Linked DNA regions of Danio rerio. The protein of the gene in region 1 binds, or shares a complex with, the protein of each later gene. Links are inferred from orthologs where the notes say so. Each region holds a gene or a part of one and is shown on either strand. Other genes may lie near its edges.

Region 1 (4,618 bases):
TTTTTATGAGTGCATTATCAATATGACAAACATATGTGAATGACCTGCAGTAATGTAAAAGTAATAAAAGAAGTATTGTTCTTAATATCGTTGGCATAACAAGTAAACTAATATAGTATCACTTTTTAATGGACTAAGAAGTAACGAGTAACGCATCATGAAAATATGACTGTTTTGATTCATTGCAACAATTTTCATTCCATAAGCAAATCTTCAGTCAGGATTTATAAAGCTATAAAAAGAAAAATCAGGTCTGTTGCCCTCTATGTCCCTCATGTTATTTCAACTCCTGCATGACTTTTTTTTTGTTAAACGCTAAATGATCCACTGACTTTCAATGAACATGCAAAAAATATCTGAATTATTCCCTTTTGACCATATGCTCACTTTAAGGTTCCTGGATTTAAATATGTGGGTAAATCTCATCAATGATCCATTTGTGTGTGTGAAAAAAATAAATAAATAAAATAAAAAACTAAAGAACATTGAATTATTGCCTAATTTCAAAATGGCTGTCACGTCATGTAACAGAGGAGTAAACCACTCAAAGACTTGGGAGGTGAACTAATCATTTCTGTTTCAAGTACAGAAATGCATGAGAGGAAACATGTTAATGTAGTTTTAAATCAACTTATGTCATTTCTCACCATTTTTTATTTCTCTCAAGGCTCATTTTATTACCACATGATGGAGGTCGATAAGCTAATCTGCATTGGCTCATTTATCACACATGTAGATTGCAGTACTGGGCAATAGCTGTCTATGATTCCTACTTTAGGCAGCTGCCTCTAAAACTGTGATTGGTTGCTCATAAATGTTTGGAAAACGCTGAGTCTTCAGAAGGCAAAGAAAATCATGCAGCCTTTTGCAGAGGACAATGCTTTGACAATTAAATACAAACTTATTGATCCCAGTATGTCTTGAAGCCTTTCAAATCTGATGAGCAAATAGTATTGTTTAAGAAATGGATATTAAAGATTCATTCAACCTCTTAGACTCAGCATTTCTGACTTAATTTGCGATTGATCTGAACTAAACTGCTGCCTATTTAAGACAAATAAGCCCCCACATCCTCATTGAAATCCAGTCACCTCTGTTTAATTAGTGTATTGATTGCATCCTTGCCTGACACATGTTACTGTGATTGTAGGTTCACAGGATCAGGTCAGATGTGTTTGTCATGCATGTGTCTGGTTTAAAGAGGCAAGCCACAGAAAGAAATCTGAATAATTTCAGTTGACAACTGTGAAATGTACTTGTTGGGGAAACACCATAGGCTTCGTACAAACACAGTGTAAAAAAAAAGGCTAAAATCCGGAGGAAACCCACGCGAAGGCAGGGAGAGCATGCAAACTACACAGAGAAATGCCAACTGAGCCGAGGTTCAAACCAGCGACCTTCTTGCTGTGAGGCGACAGCACTTCTGCGCCAATGCCTCGCCACACCATTTCCATAAGGGGAAAAATTAACTCACATTCCCAATATTTACTGCATGACATCATATTTAATTTAAATAATTGTTACTTGGATCATATAATAAATTGAAATAATAAATAATTTTAAGTGGATAAGTTATTTATGATTATGTACATTTGGGTTTGTTACATGTTTATTACATAGAGATTGTTATTGCAAAGTTTATTTGTGTCGCTTCTATACATACATAATATGTTTTTCAGTTTGGGAACTTTAATCCTTCATGACTTTTATTTTAGCACTTAAGTTATCATGGTGTAGTGGTATTAATTGTGCAAAACATATTTTAGTTGCAGTGTTTGTTGTTGGGTTTACAATGTGTTTGTGTGTATTGGGTTTTCACCCCACTCTTGTACATGTAGGCCTCCAGGTAATCAATGGTTTTACATCTATTTTGTTTTTACAAAAGCATCCAGGCAACCACAACTTTTCTAAAACAATGCATCTTTTTACATCGCAGATAACTTCATCTAATTTGCTTACAGTATCTATCTATCTCGATCTGTCTGCCCCTCTGTCTGTATAGGCCATCTCTAGTCTTTTTTTTTTTTTTTTTTTTTTTTAAGTAGGCTATTCCAATTCATTTTTGTGCCCATCTCTGATTATGAGCCATTCACTTTGTGCTGCATTTCAGTATCGATTATTCATGCAAAGCACCCGCCCAGTTGTTCATTGAACTGTCGTTCTTTTTCTTCAAAAAATAAGTGCATCTCTATTTAGCGGCACTTCTGATTAGCAAAATATGCGGTGTTACACCGCATCAGATGAAGTGTGAAATCAATGTGAACGAAACAATGCAATGTTTTTCTCCAATACGCTGACAGGAACATCGGAAACGCGTACACACACTCAGTGGAGAAGAGACACATTTCTGAGCTGTAAATCGTTAATATTATTTTATAAATGAAAAGCAAGCATAAGCATAAATAAACTACAACAGTAAAACATTATTTTATTCTATTATTAACAGGCCGTCTTTAGTGATTGAATGACTGCAAAAAAGGGAGTTTCTGCAATGCCGACTTCTATTACCAGAAAACAATCAGCACCTCTTTCAACAGGTCCCTTTTAAAAAGCAACAACTATCATATTGCATAAAGAAAAACTATCACCTAAAATGTCTATTTAAAGGAAGCAAAACAACTCTAATATCTTATGCATCGTAATACATTCCCCTACATGTCTTCTCTTACCTTATAATAACATACATGACGAGGACGTTTCCCACCAGTCCCATCACACACACTATAGAGTATAAGGCAGTGATGATGATGGCCACAATCACTGGAGTTGAGCTTTTGTCCAGCTCTGGCGTCCTGTCACATACGGAGCTGTTCATGTTCACGAGACCGGAGCTGTTGCTGAAGTTTCGGCAGAATATGCTGCTATTCGACACCATTGGGTTGGAAAGCGCGTACAGAAGGTCCGAAATGTTGCCGGTGTTTTCCATCATGGCAAGTGCCGTTCGGGTGATATTCGCCCAAGTTCTGCACGCGCGCGCTGTTTATCAATCACGCTCACAGATATCGATACCTGTCCGCTTCAAAACACTCAACGAGTCCCAACCGATCAACCGAGGCAGTCTAATGTTGCTCCCGCCGCTGCTGCCACAAGTATAGTAGTCTCTTTTGTTTACGAGACTCTATGATAAATCTATCCCCGCAGTTCTTGCATTACCCTCGTGAAATTGTATCGAGCGTCGCATTTTATTCAACAAAATGACGTCACGTATATATGCACATGACTAGAGGCTTTTCGGCAGTCCGGTGGTTCCAGCTCGTCACTTTCTCATCGTCGAAGAGATGTATGAATTTACAATCGCTCATCCTCATCTCTCCAGCTGAATTTATGGCTTGATTTTATATTTACCGAATGCAAAAAGGGAAGTCTGACTTCACTAATTAGGCTTTAACTCCACGAAAGGAGGTCAAAACTAAAGATTGGTGGTCCTGAAAGTATGTTCTCAGTGTAGTATTTTAACTGGGGTTTAAATGTTCAGAAACATCGAAAGTATATAGACAAAACTTAATGGAAGCGCATGTTTTGACTAGGAGATACACAGAAAAATGGTTTGTCAGAGGTAACCATGGCAACAGCTGAACGCTTGGACTTTTTCTCCCATTTAGAATGAAATATTGAGCTGTGTTACTATTTATATTATAGAGATATTATTATCATTATTTAAATATCATTATGTATTTTTGATATTTTGAGCTCACAGAGCCTAAATAATGAAGTAATAATGAGCACACTTTGTAAAGCTGCTTAAATGATATTTATTGTTAAGAGCCATATACAAATAAGCATGCATTTAATAAATGTATTCTAAATGTACACTATCAAAGTATCATATTTTATTACAAATCAGGTTTTCTTGTTCAAGTTAAGCATAAAAGGCTGCTAAATAATTTGTTCATTATGCGAGTATCCATTTTAGGTTTGAATGTGGTGGGTTATTTCTCCTTAGAGCAGTATGGCTGATGTTTACTCTTGCTATTAGGATCCATTTAAATTGTTGCCTATATGACATTTAAGGTTCAGTATTGTAAAATAATAAAAAAATAAGACCTTATACAGTGCAGGAAAAGGGTCAACGCTTGCTTAAAGTTACATTTATTTATTCATTCATTTTCTTTTCGGCTTAGTCCCTTTATAAATCTGGGGTCGCCACAGTGGAATGAACCACCAATTTTTTCTCAACATATGTTTTTACGCAGCGCATGCCCTTCCAGCTGCAACCCATCTCTGGAAAACATCTATACACACTCATTCACACCCATAATACAGCCAATTTAGCGTACCCAATTCACCTGTACCACATGTCTTTGAACTGTGGGGGTAACCGGAGCACCTGGAGGAAACCCACATGAACGTAGGGACAACATGCAAACTCCACACAGAAGTGCCAACTGACCCAGCCGAGGCTCCAACCAGCGACCTTCTTGCTGTGAGGCGACAGCACTACCTTCTGCACCACTGCGTCGCCCTAAATTCACATTTAATATATTTTAATTATTTACATTATTTACATTATGCAACAACTAACAGTCATTCATTCATGTTCTTTTGGCTTAGTCTCTTTATTTACTTGGGTTCGCTACAGTGAAATGAACTGCCAACCTATTCAGCAGTCTTTAACACA
Region 2 (4,537 bases), on another chromosome or scaffold:
TCACATTTTCAAAATGTACAGTATAATACATGTTCAATAAATATTCTAAAAATGCTGTTTTAGCCTCTAAGCTGGTATTTAATCACCACAGCATTTCTATATACAGAATTCAGAATTTATTGTTGAATACAGTGTGAATAAACTCATCAAGATTTAAGTGCTATTGTTAACATTGCCCACCTTCGTTTCTATGCATGATAAGAACCTCTCATCCAGAAGTTTGCTGGGAAGAAAGTATATTCAAAACATCCCCCTATAACAACCTCTCCCCCTTAAAGCCACTCACTCATCCTTCCTCGGTTGGTCTTTATGCATTACGTTTTTGAAGAGTGTGAGCAGTGGTTTCTGAGCACGCTCGTCCCAGGACTTCATGAAGCCTCCATAGCGCTTGCTAGCCGGCGGGACGCTCCAGCGGAAATGGGTCATTTTGTAGGGGGGGTCCTTCTTCCCCAGTGGGTTTAAAGGCATCTCTTCTTGCGGATAGTCGACCTCGTTATTTGCCAGCTCGCGTCTCATCTCTGCCGGAAGCGTTTCGGCGGATTCCTCTTCCACGCCGTTCGTGTACACCTTGATGGGTCTGCGTTTGCGGCCGACCGGTTTGCCCCACCGGAAGTGCTCCATGGAGTAGGAGCGCTTGTGGTCGTGTCGAGGGCCGGACTCCGGCTCTATCTGTTCAGGGGCTGCGAGTGCTACAGGGGAAAGGTGTGCGAGGAGGTCGATTTGCTCCGGCTCGGAGGGAGGCTGTAGATGGCTTTCTCCAGGGTAGACGGGGGTTTCATCTGTAAGTTCAGACCTGCATAATTGTATGCATTCCTTAAGAGGAGAAAATAATACAGTTAAAAAACAAAACACGTGGTTTAATATGTTGGCATTATGTGAGGTTTTATAATTGTGATTGGAAAGAAAATCCTGCACAATTGTGGCTTTCAAAAACAAATGTCAAAAAAGAATTTTATTTAAATTTTTGTGAACATTCTTAAAAATGTCATAGGCTATTTTATATTGTTCAGAATAAAGAAACATTACTGGTGTAGAGTAGGAATAAGACAATAACCGGCTTAAAGGTTTACTGTGGTTTGGAAGAGTCAAGGTATTAAAATCGCAAAAATGTTTTGTTAAACTTTTTGTTAATGTAAAGGTTATTTTTAGGTGTTTTTATGTGTTGTAAGGAAATCTGTGTTTTTGAAGCCAATGAAGATAGTATATAGTCAATGGTTTATTGTAGTAGCCTGACATGTTTACTGTTCCAAAATAGTATAAATGGTTCCTAAAATGTATTGTGTTAAATGGGAAAAAAGTTGTTATTTCTAAAGAAAATGTTTGAAAAGAACAAATTTTATAGCAGTAAATACAATACTGTAATACAGTGAAACTTATATTTATATCCAGCCATGATACCATGATAATTTTTATCCAAGGTTATCAAATCAAAAATGTATACCAGCCATATAATATTCTGCTATAATATTGATTATATCAATTTAATAATGACAAGACTTTTGAAGAGTAAATGCTGTACCTGGAAGAAAAAAAAGAAGTCAAATTATTTATAAAATGTGAAACTGGGCCACAAAACCAAATCTAATGTAAGTATAGTTTGGCAATGGCAAAATATGTCTATGGTCAAAATTGTAGATATACCGTTTCATTAAGTTATTTTATCAATTTCCTACACTCTCAGAAATAAAAGTACAGGAGCTGGCACCGGGGCAGCACATTTTCTAAAGATACATATTTGTACCTGAAGGGTCCATAATGGTACCTCGAAGGTACTTTATAGGTACATTTGGGGAACTAAAATGCACCTTTGAGGTACCACTGTGGACTCTTTGGGTACAAATATGTATCTTCAGAAAAGGTACTGCCCCAGTGACAGCTCCTGTACCTTTATTTCTGAGAGTGTACTTAAAATATATCAAAACTCAATTTTAATATTTTTTTTTTCTGTATTTTAATCCACAAGATTCCAGATTTTCAAATAGTTGTTTCTGAGCCAAATATTATATACCTATGTTAATGACTGGTTTTAAAGTCTATGGTCACAAATGATCAACTAAAAAAAAAAAAGAAAAGAAAACAAACAAAAAAAAAGCCAAAAGTTCAGCCCCAAAACAAGTCTGTTCAACCATTTAATCAACAAAATATTAAGCAATTATTATTTTAATGATAGTTGCCCAACAGACATTTTTACTGATTATAACTCTGCACTTACTGTACACGTCTAATTTTCTAATGGGAGTTACTTACAATGTAACTTACAGAGCACAGAACATCTAAAATAATAATAGTAAAGGATCAGCAATTAATCTAAGCCGTGACGAATCCAGCAACTCACCAAGATGTTCTCCTCTGTGCTGAGGTCTCGACAGCGGGCATTTTCCCAACACTGAGCTCTGACTTCAGATCCTCCTGCGCAGAGAACAGCCAGAGCCAAGAGCCAAGCAGGACACAACATCCTCACTCCCCTCACCATCTCTGAGAACACAATACAATTCACATTTAAGCATGTTAAATTCATATTGTAGACTCTCAAAACACATTTGTTTGCACACTACAGTTGAAAGAACAGTTGGAAAGTATGAAATAATACTTCAAAGTAATAAAATACATCAATTAAATGAATTATCTGATATGCAAAAAAGACAAATCAATAAAAAATCTGTTAGTTTTAACTCAACATTTGAATCAAATAACCCAATAGTTCAGTTACAAATCCCAACTGTTCAGTTTGTCCAATCCCAACTGTTCAGTTTGTCCAATTTTTTGAAGAAAACAATCCAGATTATTTTAGTGTATGGGATATTTTTCACCCACCTTTTGCACAGAAAGAAGTCAGTAACCAAAGTTGTTCTCTCTGAGAGTCTCGGATGTGTCTGGTTGTCTTTGCGTTTGCTCGTCTCTGATGTCTGAGACCCCCCAATCGTCTTTTATAAGCTATCTGTGCGTCAATTCCTCAAGGTCACCAAACTCTGTGACTTTTAATGGGTTGTGCAGGTAGGAAACCCACCGGCATCATCTATGGCAGGGATGAGTAATGAATCAACTGTTGTCAGTCAACAGCGAAGAGTCAGATGTGAATGAGTGCAGGATTAGTACGGGATTCTTATTCAGTCTGGCTAACTAAATGATGATGGTTTTTCTCATTATGTTTAAGGGCAGATGTGTCAGTTTACAGGAGTTTGGTGATTAAGGATTTAAACTCACTTCAAATCAATTACAGAGCATGTTTTGTGCTGTGTAAGGGCACACAGGTGCTAAGCCTGTATTGAAATTGGTTGGAAGGTGAAGGATTTGAAGACGGAAGCCATCTGGATGCGTTTACAGAACAAAAGATCATGTTAACATGGTTTGATAGGAGCTCAGGTTAAGGAGAAAATATAAAATTTTGGTATATCTACTTTAATTTTTACAAATATATTAAACGGGGGACACAAAACCATAAGTCTCAAAAATTGAGGTCTTAAAGCAGAATAAAAAAGCTTTAAATTGATGTATGGTTTGTTATGATAGGATAATATTTGTTGAAGATGCAACTATTTAAAAATAGAAATTTGAGAGAATCTGAGAAAATCGTCTTTAAATTTGTCTTAAGTTCTTAGCAATGCATATTACTAATCAAACATTGTTTTAATATATTTACAGTAGCAAAATGTACTAAATCTTTACCTAATATTCTAAAAAAAAAATTGGCAAAAGAGAAAAATCAGCAATTTTGACCCATACAATTTGTTTGTTATTGCCAATAATATACCCAAGACTGGTCCAGGGTCAGTGGTGGTAAGAGTACTGAAAAATCATACTCAAGTAAAAAGTACCATTACTTGCCCAAAAATGTAGTGCAGGTAGAGTAAAAGTATCAGTTGTAAATATTACTCTAAGTATGAGTAAAATGCAACCCTTTCAAAAGTATTCATGAGTAGTGAGTATTACGCTGTAAAAAAACTAATGCATTTACATGTAGTTTGTGGATGTGTGTGTAAACGAAACATTCTGTAGTGCATTTAGTTATTGTTTAGGGACATTTCAGCCACCATACAGTTAAATCGCCAACCTGATTTTACCAAGTACATGTTCCTAGATTAGCATATTTGTTGATCCTGGAACATCATTCCATTTAGCCCAAAATTAAGGGATACATTTATCGTTTATGTTACGTTTAGGCTTACTTAGGTTTATGCACTTCTACATTGTGATCCAAGTATTATTCCCCTCTGAATAGTCATGGTTAGGTTTAGGAGTAGGGATTAGGTGGATTACATTTTCCAACAAAAATTATGTTCCAGGAACAACATAATAGATGTTAATCCAGGATCACATTGTACATCGGCAAATTATTACATGCTACAGTAAAGATCCGCCATCTTCTTATCAATGACATGCATCTAAACAGTCTCTGGGTCATTGAGTGTAAAGATTTTGGACATATTCTTGGATGCTTTTAACGCTTCCAAACAGTTTGCTGCATTTATAATTTGCCCATGTCTTGAGGTTGTTCAGTATGGTGCGATTTACTTTCTATGTGCGATTTGATTGGACA

Evidence for each region.
Region 2: the proteins of oprm1 (region 1) and pomca are in contact, whole or in part, in a cryo-EM structure (PDB 8F7Q), measured with the Homo sapiens proteins. The link is inferred for Danio rerio from reciprocal best matches to the Homo sapiens genes OPRM1 and POMC. Residues at the interface, in NP_000905.3 of Homo sapiens: Ser66, Met67, Ala70, Ile71, Met74, Gln126, Asn129, Tyr130, Leu131, Met132, Gly133, Trp135, Val145, Ile146, Asp149, Tyr150, Met153, Arg213, Ile217, Asp218, Cys219, Thr220, Glu231, Lys235, Val238, Ile298, Val302, Lys305, Trp320, Ile324; in NP_000930.1 of Homo sapiens: Tyr237, Gly238, Gly239, Phe240, Met241, Thr242, Ser243, Glu244, Lys245, Thr248, Pro249, Leu250, Val251, Leu253.

Annotation. Positions count from the first base shown.
Region 1 is NC_133188.1:27,027,399-27,032,016, reverse strand, and holds the start of oprm1 (mu-type opioid receptor), read right to left. Parts: upstream 3,044-4,618; 5' UTR 2,930-3,043; coding exon 2,670-2,929; intron 1-2,669. UniProt on the Homo sapiens protein: Receptor for endogenous opioids such as beta-endorphin and endomorphin. Receptor for natural and synthetic opioids including morphine, heroin, DAMGO, fentanyl, etorphine, buprenorphin and methadone.
Region 2 is NC_133192.1:34,931,136-34,935,672, reverse strand, and holds the start of pomca (proopiomelanocortin a precursor), read right to left. Parts: upstream 3,052-4,537; 5' UTR 2,815-3,051; intron 2,476-2,814; 5' UTR 2,474-2,475; coding exon 2,336-2,473; intron 814-2,335; coding exon 283-813; 3' UTR 1-282.